Oryzias latipes: one gene and its partners. The protein of the gene in region 2 binds, or shares a complex with, the protein of the main gene of each other region. Links are inferred from orthologs where the notes say so. Each region holds a gene or a part of one and is shown on either strand. Other genes may lie near its edges.

Region 1 (4,165 bases), on a different chromosome or scaffold from region 2:
ACTTACTTCTTGCAGCGAGAATAGCACCAGTCATGGCACCACTTGTTATTGAATTCCAGGGGTCTTCTTTCCCTCTTACTTTTACTAAACCACAGTCAATCATGGAAAAAAGGCCTCCCCACACCGCAAAGCTACCTGCAACACACACCCACAAATAATTACCAACTAGTAACCATCAGTCATCTTTTTTGACAGTATAGCAGAAAATGTTATAAACCCGTTTATGAATATAACCTTGCAAAAAAAAAAAAGACAACCAAAAGTTTAAACACAGTAATGGTTAACAAGCAACGTAAACCAATGAAGATTTGACCTTTTGGTGAAGTTGACATGACTCAAGGGTATTGTTGTTTACATGGTAAACAACCTGCTACCAGAACAGCAGAATAACCCCATCAAAGTCCCACTCCGATCATTTCTTGATCTATTGTAAAAGTGTCCCCAGTGGACTTTTTACTTATAATTATGCAGATTTGAGCAAAAAAAATAAAAGAACATGTCATTTTCTAGGACATAATTTTTGCAGAACAGCAGGAGTTCATTAAAAATTCACCTCCAAGTTCTGCTGGCAGAGTAAGTCCATCCCCACATCCCATCATCCATCCATTTATAGGCTTTCCTGCTAGCTTACAGTCCCTCACAACCCCAACCTAAAATTACCGCTGCAACTAAAATGGCAAGCAATATTGGAGTTTTCCAGCCGTACAGTTTTGAGCCAGATGCCTTTAATCACACCTACAAGCTTTTTCCAACAACATTTTTGCGTCTGCGCCTGATTCACAAAGATTTCGATGTAGAAATACTCAAAATAGAATTTTGAGCCTAATTTTCTTTATATATCCTCCATCTTGGAGAAAGAAGAAAAGAAAAAAAAACACAACACGCATTGTTGTTGTCGATAGCTTAGCTTTTGTTCTATTGGCACTACGCAGGAGGAAAGACAATCACCTGACCGGACCGGGATCGCTCAGTGGAAATGAGACATAAGTGTCGGCACATGTGGAATTTTTTTTGTCTTACCTCCCAGTTGCGGGGCTCTGGTCTTAATGGCAGTTAAACTACCCCTCATCCTGTGGCTCATTCCCTACAAAAAAGACCAGCACAAACAGATTTAAAAAGTGTGAAGAGCAGATAAACACTATAACACCCATCTCGCTGGAAAATATTTAAAGCTTCCTTGAGCGAGTCATTGAACCAGAAGGCCAAGGCTTTCAAAACACTGGCTCTGCCACTACAGGTAGGAGAAAGATAATCACAGCAAACCCATGTGACGGCACACACGTACAGTTCAAATGTCCAAACTGAACTTACCGAGGGTGCGTTTCTGAAGCCCTTTACCGCCTGGAATATCCCTCCTCCAATAGCTCCCATGGTGAATGCTCCACCACAGTCATCCACAATCCTCCAGGGGCTAAAAAACAAAAAACACAGACAAAGCTTAACCTCATGCTGTACTCATGGAGTGCCAGACAACAGACTACAGAACCTAATACGAGTATTTTTAAAATAAACAGCAGGTATTTGTTCGTTAATGAGTTCCAAATATATGGGGGGGGGGGGGGGGGGGGACAAAAACGAATAAATGCATCAAACTTGAGAGAAAAACAAGTCCACAGTAGACATCAATAATTTAGACTTTTTTATTGTCATAACTGGTTAAGAACTAAATGAAACAACTTAAAACTTGAATTGATTTAATTCTGTCTGTGTGTTGGGGTTGGGGAGTGCATCTGCATGCCAGTAAGCTAGCCCAAGATTTACAACGTCTAATTCTAGGAACTTTAGACATTGTTTCATGCATGGACCAAATACCTCAACACCCAGGTCTTAATACCACTGAGACCTTCAGGATGTGCTACAGGAGACTTCATTACAGTCATGCCTATTATCCAAAATGAAACATATTGCAGACCATTAAAACAATGCCAAGAGGAAATAACATGCTATATGTAGAGGACACAGTGCAACTGTGTGTTAAAGAAAAGCTCAAAACCGTCCAAAAAGATATATTTTGTGGAAATCAAGCAAAATTGCATCAAGTTCCATTGTTTTGTCACATCCTAGTTAAATGAGGTGGGAAAAAGACAACTGGTCATGGATCAGCCAAAATATAACAACTTAGTGTCACACTAATGGCAGTAAGGCCTAAGATGGGTTTTTACAGTCCACCTATAGTTAACACAATTTTACGTAGATATGATGGTTTTTTTTAAGTTGATTACAGGATGTCGAAACAAGTGTTTGGGGAATCTAGTAAAACCGATCACTCACAGGTTCGGGTTGACAGCAGTCAGAGTTACAACAACACGGGTCTCATAACAAGTTATACAAATTTTCTCTGAACAACAATGGTGATGTTGGCTTTTTGGTACTTGATGCAATCCGTGTTCTATTTAGTGCAAAGTCAACTACTGTTTTCAGTGAAGTCAGTAGAGTTACATGTGGACGAAATAGCCGACAAGGTCACCAACGTGATTTCACGACCATGCCGGTATGTCGTTAGCGTCAAGCTACCCATAGATTTCAAGGGAGAAATTAGCATTTCGGCTAACACCACTAACTAGCATGCAAGGTTAAGGACTGATAAAGTCATTACAACTGGTGATCAGAATAGGTACTCAAAGTTAAGGAACAAACATGTCTTGTTTTTTAACCAGACAATTAAGGTGATTTAAAAATAAATAAATAAATAAAAAACTCACCACGGCTCTCTCGCATATTCCTCCATTTTGTTCTTTCACCGTGTTCCCCTGAGCGTCCTGACGTAACCTCTTCTTCTTGACGTCACAGAACGTAAACCAATAGTTGAAAGTAATGAGTACCGCCATCTATCGAGCAGACGTGTGGTTGCAGTTTTCTGTATACATTTTTTCCGCTTTTTTTGGTTATTTATAATTCCAGGGAAATAGAAGACAAAAATAAATAACTTACAAAATCTCCAGTTAATCTGTCACTCGTGGACAAACAAATGCCTCACTATTTTTAAGTAAATACTTCTTAATATAAAATGTTTACGTAGTTAAAAATTATAAAAATTTGATAATATGTGTTTGCTTTTGTTTTTTAATAAAAATCTATACTTAATTTTTCACATAATTTATTTATATTAGCTGATCTATTAGCCAATCCTTGGGTGGTTGATGTGGTTTGTGACAATGCTAACATTTATAAATGTGACTGCAGACAGAGTATGAATGATTGTAGAAATTAGTCACAACATCAGAAACATCACAGGTTGGATTTAAAACATGAAGAAGAAGAAAACACTTTGCTGGTGGGAGTAGGATCCTTTCTGAAAATACTCACCAACCCTAACCCTATACATCAAGTGTCCGGGTGTACTCTGTGAGAGCTCAACTACTGAAATGTCAGCTACTTAAAGGCTTTGGAATTGTTTGCCAAAACAAAAAAACAGCCACATGTAGTTCAGAGCAACCAAAAGCTAAACTAAAATAATACACCCAAGATCACACATTGAAAAGCATTTGATTCTTTCAAAGATTAAAACCTTTTCAGACATTCAAGATATTTTACCAGGTTTTAAGTTGTTTGAACTTATTTTTGCTATACACATTCTCAGGAAGAGCAGAGATACAGAAATAAAGAAATAAGTATTAAAATGAATCCAAACTCTTTTGCTCCCTACTCTCGACAAGAGAAAAAACTTGTTTCAAGACTCAAAAAATCTCTAATTACAGTGTCATTTTTGGCTCAATTTTAAAGATTTTATTTTAGAGTTCAATAAATGTTAGACTGGCATTCAGTGTCCTTGTTTTGGAAACTGAGAATTTGATTTACATTCAAACAATTAGAGCTAAATTTTATGAGGATTTGTTCTAAAATGAGTCATTTCTACTTTTTAACTATTTTTTGTCACTGTAATCAAAATGAAATAGAATTAGGTTTATAAAAACTGAAAAAATTAAATCCATTTGCTTAGAACTAGCAAAAAATACTTATTATCGGACCGTACGATATTATTATAAGTTACTCTCTCGAAGTATGCTTATTTTTCTCTTTTTGAATGCTTATGTGGAACAGCTTGTTTCTAGATTTTAACATCTTATAAGTATAAATTACTTGCTGGAGACAATTTTACTAGTTTTTAGTGGTTTTCTTCTCAAGAATAGTGCTCTTTCTGTCTTTTTAGGCTACTTATTTTTGC
Region 2 (3,681 bases):
GTTTCATGATGTTAACTCCATAGTTTCACTTTGATTTAATTTAAAATAAAAACTCCTTAGGGTTTACTTTAACCCTTGTGCTATGTTATGGGGTCCAGATGACCCGGTCCTTCCATTGACGTGTTCTCCCTACCATGACAAAGGTGGACAAAGGTGGAAAGATTTCATGTAATCCATGGACACCAGTGAAGATCACAAATCATTGAAGAAAAAAGGTTCAGAGCACTGTCTAGTGCAGGGGTCCCCATATCCAGGCCTGGGGGGCCGGTGTCCTACATGTTTTCTAACCAACCTGCCATTGAAGCTCCTTATTGGCTAAACACACCTGATCCAGGTAATCAGATACAAATATGGCAGGGTTTCTGGAAAAGCAGCACGACATTGGCCCTTGAGGCCTGGATTTGGGGACCCCTGGTCTAGTGGGTCTAGATGACCCAACATTAACATGCCTTGGAGGCACGTTAACATTGGGAGTTGGGTCATCTAGACCCCACAAGTTAGCAGAAGGGTTGGACAGGAAGCTTGGGAGCAGAAACTCCTGCTTTTGTTGACCTCTGATCTCTGTTTTCTCTGTCCTGCAGATTCCAGATGAGTTCGACTCAGGTGAGTAGCGTCCGTCTGAGAACTGAAGTAATGAGTTACGGTCCCCCGCTGAACATTTCTGTCATAAACTGGAAGATGAGGCGACGCTTTAGGGAATCTTTATTCAGAAAGAACGCTTCTTTTGATTTTTTACTTTGGTGAATCAAGGACACAACAGTCAGCTCAGGAATGGGGTTGGCGTGTTCTCCCCGTGGGCTTGGCGTGTTCTCCCCGTGGAGGTAGCGTGTTCTCCCCGTGGAGTTGGCGTGTTCTCCCCGTGGAGTTGGCGTGTTCTCCCCGTGGGGTTGGCGTGTTCTCCCCGTGGGCTTAGCGTGTTTTCCCCGTGGAGGTAGCGTGTTCTCCCCGTGGGGTTGGCGTGTTCTCCCCGTGGGCTTAGCGTGTTTTCCCCGTGGAGGTAGCGTGTTCTCCCCGTGGAGTTGGCGTGTTCTCCCCGTGGGGTTGGCGTGTTCTCCCCGTGGGCTTAGCATGTTTTCCCCGTGGAGGTAGCGTGTTCTCCCCGTGGAGTTGCCGTGTTCTCCCCGTGGGGTTGGCGTGTTCTCCCCGTGGGCTTAGCATGTTTTCCCCGTGGAGGTAGTGTGTTCTCCCCGTGGGGTTGGCGTGTTCTCCCCGTGGGCTTAGCGTGTTTTCCCCGTGGAGTTAGCGTGTTCTCCCCGTGGGGTTGGCGTGTTCTCCCCGTGGGCTTAGCGTGTTTTCCCCGTGGAGGTAGCGGGTTCTCCCCGTGGAGTTAGCGTGTTCTCCCCGTGGGGTTGGTGTGTTCTCCCCGTGGGCTTAGCGTGTTTTCCCCGTGGAGGTAGCGTGTTCTCCCCGTGGGGTTGGCGTGTTCTCCCCGTGGGCTTAGCGTGTTTTCCCCGTGGAGGTAGCGTGTTCTCCCCGTGGAGTTAGCGTGTTCTCCCCGTGGGGTTGGTGTGTTCTCCCCGTGGGCTTAGCGTGTTTTCCCCGTGGAGGTAGCGTGTTCTCCCCGTGCACGCGTGGGTTTTCACCAGGCACTCCTTCCTCCCACCGCATGCTTCATGGATTAACTGGTGACTGTAAATCGTCTCTAGGAGTACAGCTGTGTGGGATTGAGTGACCCTGCGACAGACTGGCGGCCTGTCCGGGGCGTACGTCGCCTCTGCCCCACAGTTGGGGTCTGGCAACCATGTGACCCCCAAAGGGATAAAGCGGGTTTACGGTCGGTGGTTAGTTCATCACCTTTGGAAAAAAGTGACCGACCTGTGACGATGCAGATGGACGAGTTACCATCAACCACTGAGAGAAATCTAGAAACTGGTTTAACCGAAGAAAAGTTAATGATGCAAAAAGCTAATTAACAGGAAAAGCTGCCAAATAAAGGATGATAAACGTGTAGAAATGTTACATTAATTAAAAGACAAAAGAAACGACGTTCACAGGAAATCATAAAGTTAATACTTGTTCTAAAATCCTTCAGTGTTTGTGATCTAAAATTAGTTTTTAACGCTGAAAAGTTTTGTTTTTACTGACATTTAAGATTTTAGGAGGAAATAACCAGAGAACCAGCCGTTTGGTTCTCAGAAAGGCCTTCATCAGGGCATCTTCCTCTTTGGTGTCCCCTTCCTTTGGAGCGCTTTCACTCCTTTTTCAACACTTGTTCCGACTTAAAACATGAGAAACATCTGAAGTATTCGCCCCCCCGTCCGTCCCCGGATCTCATTTCTACGGACCTTCTCTGCGTTTCATCTCAGCAGCAGATGGTTTCTTCCTGCTTCAGCTCGCTGCAGGGAATCCTGGGGGTCCGAGTCCCCCGGGATAGACATGCGGGGATGGATGTTTGCCCCCACAGGGCAGTAATGATCCCGTGGCCTCACGGGAGCCCCGGTCTTTATTATGATTAGTCATTAGCAGGTTTCCAGCTAGAGCTGTGATCAGCAGGACTCATTGATCAGCTGGAAGGCTGCAGGTCAGGGAGCCAATCAGAAGGAGGCGTCTTTGTTTGGAGGCCGTTCTTTAAGCAAACAAAGTCCTCCTGAAACTGTTTACCCCTGCTCTGCAGAGGAAAGGAGGCCAATCAGAGTCCAGGTCCACACGGCTTCATCAAGCTGCTCAGATGTTGTTGGGGGGGGTCCAACATGTCGACAGATGAGCTCTAGAGGAGATCCAGGCTCCTGCTTCACCTTCCTCTTCTCTCTTTCAGACCCTCCAGTTGTCCAGCAGTTGAGGAGAACCTTCAAATACTTCAAGGATTACAGACAGGTGATCCTCCAAACATCTTTTCCTCCTGGAACGTTTCATAGTGACATGTTTTCTGTCCGGCCGCTGGGCGGACGCGTCAGAGCTGAGGGCCTCTAGTGTCGGACTGATGTTACAACAGGGGGTTAGGAATCTTCTGACACGCGAGGTGTCTATTTGAATAAACTCCTTTTTGGATTTGAGGGATAGCAGATTGAGAATATCCGCCCACCGGGCAACCCAACGTCAGCCACCCAGACTGGGGTCAGAAGGACCACCACAGGGTCCCATATTTAGGGTTTTACCATCAGATTTTCTTGAATCCGATCCTTTGAGGGCGCCGTGTGACCGGTTGGTTTTTTTGCAGATGATCATCGAGCCAACGAGCCCGAAACTGCTGCCCGACCCGTTGAAGGAGCCGTACTACCAGCCGCCCTACACCCTGGTGCTGGAGCTCACAGACGTCCTGCTGCACCCGGAGTGGTCGGTGCGTTTGGCTCCATGCACGTGTTTGCTAGTACTGATGTGGTGACATCACTGAAAGGGGAATGAAGCGCTGAGGTCAAACACAACCAAGCTTCACGTAGGAGAACACGGACCTCAGACAACCACGGCGGCCGTCCAAAGCCCGTCAGACCCCCCGGCGGTCTGTGCTCACACTGTAGTCCATGTGCCGCCGTTAGCTGCCGCTCAGCCAATGAGGGGGGGGTAATATGGGGGGTAATGGAGGGGCATTGAGGGTGCTTGCTGCTTTCTTTTCACGTTTTATACGTTAAAATTGTTCAGATCATCACCCCTTCATAGGGAATAACGAGGCATTAACAACGACGTTTCATGGTTAAATTCTGAACCTGTCAGAAGGACTACGACAGCAGTCAGAGGTTGGCGTTT
Region 3 (4,312 bases), on a different chromosome or scaffold from region 2:
GTCAGTGTGCACAACCTGCTAATGAATAGAGTGTGGTGTAAGCCAGTCATACGTCACTATCCTTAGAAATACTTCACAAATACAAACTTACCAAACGCATGACAACTGTACATTGCATTTTTAGTGACGTTCCATTAGGTACGAGACTGAAGGGAAACTAAAAGACACATCTGCTCCCCTCAAGGTGCAGCTGATTGTCTCTACGACCCTCCACAGCCCCGAACAAACCAAAAACCAGCATATGACTAAGGATTAACCAAAAAATTCCAGTTTGCAGCCTTCATTTTGCCCTCATCGTGTTTTTTTAACAATGCAAATCACATTTTGCTGATGTAATTTCCCTGGTGTCTTCTGCATTTGCCGCGAAAAAAACTTCAATAGTGTGAATAGGTAACAATAACTAAATGTATACACCAAAGAAAAAGTCAACCTGATTTATATTACTGTAGAATACAAATATGATTTTCAAAAACTCATTTTTGGAAGAATAAAACCACCATTCAAGAGTTTCACTCACGGTTCTGAAACTGCTGTGCAGTGTATCTGGTTAGCAGGATCCCAAAACCCTCGATGAGAGCGAGCAATATTCCTCCCATCATGGCAGAGCCCACCATGGTCAACGGTCCGCCTGAGGAAAGACACCCTGTCCGCTCAATTCCACCAAACACTACGACCCGCTGAGAGTGTGCGGCCCAGACTCGCTCTTACTGCGTGCTGCTAGAACGGCTCCGGTCAGGGCCCCGCTGGTGATGGAGTTCCACGGGTCTTCTTTCCCTCTCAGACGGACCAGACCACAGTCGATCGTGGAGAAGAGCCCCCCCCACACTGCAAAGCTGCCTGCAAAAATGTTCAGGGGAGTGTGAAAAACAAAAACAAGAAGAGAACAGCTCTTATGGCATCTAGGTATAATTTTTCCAATAAAGAGATGAACAGCAAATGACATTGTGGTGAAGCCAGGAAACCTTTTGTTATTAATAAGAGCAAAATCTCCTCACCTCCAATCTGCGGCGCTCTTATTCTCACTGCATTGGCGCTTCCTTTTAGCCTGTGTGCAACACCCTGAAAGGTCAGACTGCTGTTAATTATTATCCTCACAAAACAGGCGCATCAGAGCCAACAGACTTGTGGTTTTAACTCACGGCGGGGGCGTTTCGAAACCCCTTGACTGCTTGGAACACCCCTCCACCAATTGCACCCATAGTAAACGCCCCCCCACAGTCATCCACAATCCTCCAGGGGCTGCAGGAAAGAAGTCAGATCATGAAAAATTACGGACACAGAGGAAAAAAATTGCAGATTGACTCATCAGGATCTGAATGAACCAAAATTAGGCCAAGAAGTTAAAGGTGTAGAACTGAAACAAATAACCTTTTTATTAATTTCTTAGGAAAGCTATCAACGATCCGGCATACTTTCCAGCTTCCACAAGAATTCATCTTTGGATTATATTAACTCCAAATCCCAATTTTAGCTGCAGTATATTATTAAACGACAGATGCAGACATTATTTAAGGTCACACTGAACCTGCATTTTCTTTAACAGCTTTAAAACACTTGTTTAAATAATTAGTCATTGGATTAAGACAGCAAAACAGCAACATATTATTGTTCTTTCTGGTGGCTTACTGCTGCAGGAGGCTCAAATGTTCAAAACAAACAAAGATCTAAATGAGAAGACACAGGCTTTTTCATGCTAACTCTTCTATTTATTCTACTTTGTCACGAGTCAAATGATAAATTAAAGGATTTTCCTCTGATTCTTTTGTCTTATAAACTTAGGGGGTTCTCTCCATTCAGATTTACTCTCTAAAGGCAAAATAATGGATCACAGATCCACAGTGTTTTCTTCTGACACAAGGGGAGTGAATTCTGACTTCCTTTAAGTTCAAAACTAGGAATAACCACAAAGCAGGAACAGATCAGAGAGAAACTGATTAGATCAGAACAGAGAAGAGCCAGAGGTGGCAGAGCTTGTAGCTGCGAGGGGGAAAAAAGGAGGCAGAAGGGAGCGGCGTGGGGCAGCAAGCAGACGGAGCGGCGTGGGGCAGCAAGCAGACGGAGCAGGAGCAGACCAAAAAGAGAAACAAATGATTCTGTCTCCATGTTTTTACTCTGATTGGTTTGTGTGTCTTCCTTTTGTAGACGGTGGGGGATCTTTCTGTTAATCCCTCCAAAAACTCTGAACTCAGAAGTAAATGGGTTAACCATAACAACTATCTAATATCTATAATCAGTTAAATTCAGAAGTGTTATTATCAATCTGGATTATCAATGACTCAATGACAAGCATGTCAGCATTTTGATGAGTTGGGGCAGCTTTAGAGGAGATCTGTGTGCCTGAAGCCCTAGAAGTGTCGACTTTACTGAATTCTAATAAACAATCATCCATCTATGAAATAGTAGACAATGTTAATGATTATTCTTTAAAATGTCTGAAAGTTGTTGAGAGATTTAAACTGCATTTAGGATTTATAGAATAAATGTAACTGTGATCTTAATTGCTATTAAATACCATTATATTCTGTGATATATAAAACATCCATTTCTGCACAAGGATATAAATTGGATGTTTCGGCTTGAAAAACAATAAACAAGCTTACTACCAATTAATTAAAAATGTCACAAAATATGTAACATTTGTTCGCAATATGTTTTAAGCTAATTTAAAGCACTAACAGTAAATGTTGTCGTTTTTCCATAAATTGTAGAAATAATATATTTTATAACCTGCGAAATGTTAGAATTCTAGTTGAAATTAGATTACTTCTCGGTGGTGGACGCGAAACTATTCAACCTGGTCAGGTTTCGTTCAACAAGAGGGCAAAATTGCATAAAAGCCAAAGGACAAACTAATATGTTTAGGTTTTATTCGACAAAAAAAGATAATCTCACCAAGGTTCACGCGCAAACTCCTCCATCTTTCGTGTCGTCTTTTAAGCGCAGTGACGTCATAATCAGGCGCCGGCTCATCGTTCGTTGTGGTGGTCTGTTGATTTTAACGATTGAAATAGTCGTTTTTAAGAACAGGTACAGACTTTCCCCCCTCTTTGTTATTTATATAAACGCTTACTTGGTTAATTGAGTTTCTTATTATAGTTAGGAACTTCAAAATGACGGGATTTTGATTTATTTTAACCGCAGCTGTGAGTTGAGTTCAGAAAAACGGGCCTGGATCATGTTTTCGTGCAGATTATTTTAGCTCTTGAAATATTGTTTCTTTGCTAATTATCGATATTTTAAAACTGACTGAGCTACACTAACCTCAATATTTAAAAGACAAAAAAAACTTAACGTTTGAGAGTTTTAATCAATCGCTCCATAGTAGAACCAGAACCATCGAAATAACTTTCAGAAAAGTCCTGTTTCATTTTTTGAGCTGCTTTGAAATTGAGACAGTTTTGTGTGTGTGTGTGTGCGCGCGCGTGCGTGCGTGTTTAAATTTCGCACCTTATCATAAAATTTTCCTCCAGAGAATTTGTTTAGAAACAGTGAAGAATGGATTTGTTTGCTTCAAATACCTTATCTATACAGGTGCTCTGAATGTACACATCTGTACATCTGGATTTGGTCATAGAACATGTTTAATTTCAGAATTTGGGGTAATGGGTGTCTCTTATGTTGTTGCTTTTATGGGTTAGTTTGAAACGAAACAGTTCTGCCAAATTAAAGCCAAATCAGTTATTTAATTAATTGATTTTTCTATAAAAGTAATATTTTGTATTTGTCAGGTTAAATAAAACATTTTCTTTGCTTTTAAAGCCAGAAGTTGAATTTTATTGATTTAAAGTTCAAGTTTTGCTTTATTTAAATCACTAGTTAGGCAAAAATGTTTGTGAACGAACATAATTAGTTTTGGAATGGAACCTTTATTTTTTTTTAAAAAGAATTTATATTTAATCAAAATTTCTGCAATCCTAACTCCTGTACACAATCGGTGAATTCGTATGTAATCAACTGAAGAATTTGTCAGCATTTGCATCATCATTTAATCCTAACTCCTCTGTGCTTGCAGATGCCTCTACCTCCAGCCCTGCTGGCCCGTTTGGCCAAGAGAGGAATAGTTAAACCTTCAGATCAAGGTAGTATTCTACATCCTCACAGAGCTTACTTTCTGCTTTTTTTCTGAGCTTAAAACGACTTTTTCTCCTCAACAAAACAGAGATAGAGGAGGAGATCATCGCTGAAGATTATGATGACAACAATGTTGACTATGAAGCCACTCGGTTAGAAAATCTTCCCCCAAATTGGTACAAAGTGTTTGACTCGACGTGGTACGTAGAAACGAAGTCGATCAGCTGCGCTGCTGTGTTTG

Evidence for each region.
Region 1: timm50 (region 2) and timm17a share a complex: the UniProt entries of both Homo sapiens proteins name them as parts of the TIM23 complex. The link is inferred for Oryzias latipes from reciprocal best matches to the Homo sapiens genes TIMM50 and TIMM17A.
Region 3: timm50 (region 2) and timm17b share a complex: the UniProt entries of both Homo sapiens proteins name them as parts of the TIM23 complex. The link is inferred for Oryzias latipes from reciprocal best matches to the Homo sapiens genes TIMM50 and TIMM17B.

Annotation. Positions count from the first base shown.
Region 1 is NC_019863.2:11,441,567-11,445,731, reverse strand, and holds the start of timm17a (mitochondrial import inner membrane translocase subunit Tim17-A), read right to left. Parts: upstream 2,814-4,165; 5' UTR 2,729-2,813; coding exon 2,703-2,728; intron 1,412-2,702; coding exon 1,312-1,411; intron 1,085-1,311; coding exon 1,021-1,084; intron 136-1,020; coding exon 7-135; intron 1-6. UniProt on the Homo sapiens protein: Essential component of the TIM23 complex, a complex that mediates the translocation of transit peptide-containing proteins across the mitochondrial inner membrane.
Region 2 is NC_019871.2:1,074,385-1,078,065, reverse strand, and holds part of timm50 (mitochondrial import inner membrane translocase subunit TIM50), read left to right. Parts: intron 1-581; coding exon 582-603; intron 604-2,755; coding exon 2,756-2,814; intron 2,815-3,157; coding exon 3,158-3,277; intron 3,278-3,681. UniProt on the Homo sapiens protein: Essential component of the TIM23 complex, a complex that mediates the translocation of transit peptide-containing proteins across the mitochondrial inner membrane. Has some phosphatase activity in vitro; however such activity may not be relevant in vivo.
Region 3 is NC_019865.2:21,320,988-21,325,299, reverse strand, and holds the start of timm17b (mitochondrial import inner membrane translocase subunit Tim17-B), read right to left. Parts: upstream 2,944-4,312; 5' UTR 2,919-2,943; coding exon 2,893-2,918; intron 1,240-2,892; coding exon 1,140-1,239; intron 1,060-1,139; coding exon 996-1,059; intron 838-995; coding exon 709-837; intron 629-708; coding exon 518-628; intron 1-517. Other genes in the region: pqbp1 (polyglutamine-binding protein 1), read left to right, coding at 4,013-4,079, 4,160-4,271. UniProt on the Homo sapiens protein: Essential component of the TIM23 complex, a complex that mediates the translocation of transit peptide-containing proteins across the mitochondrial inner membrane.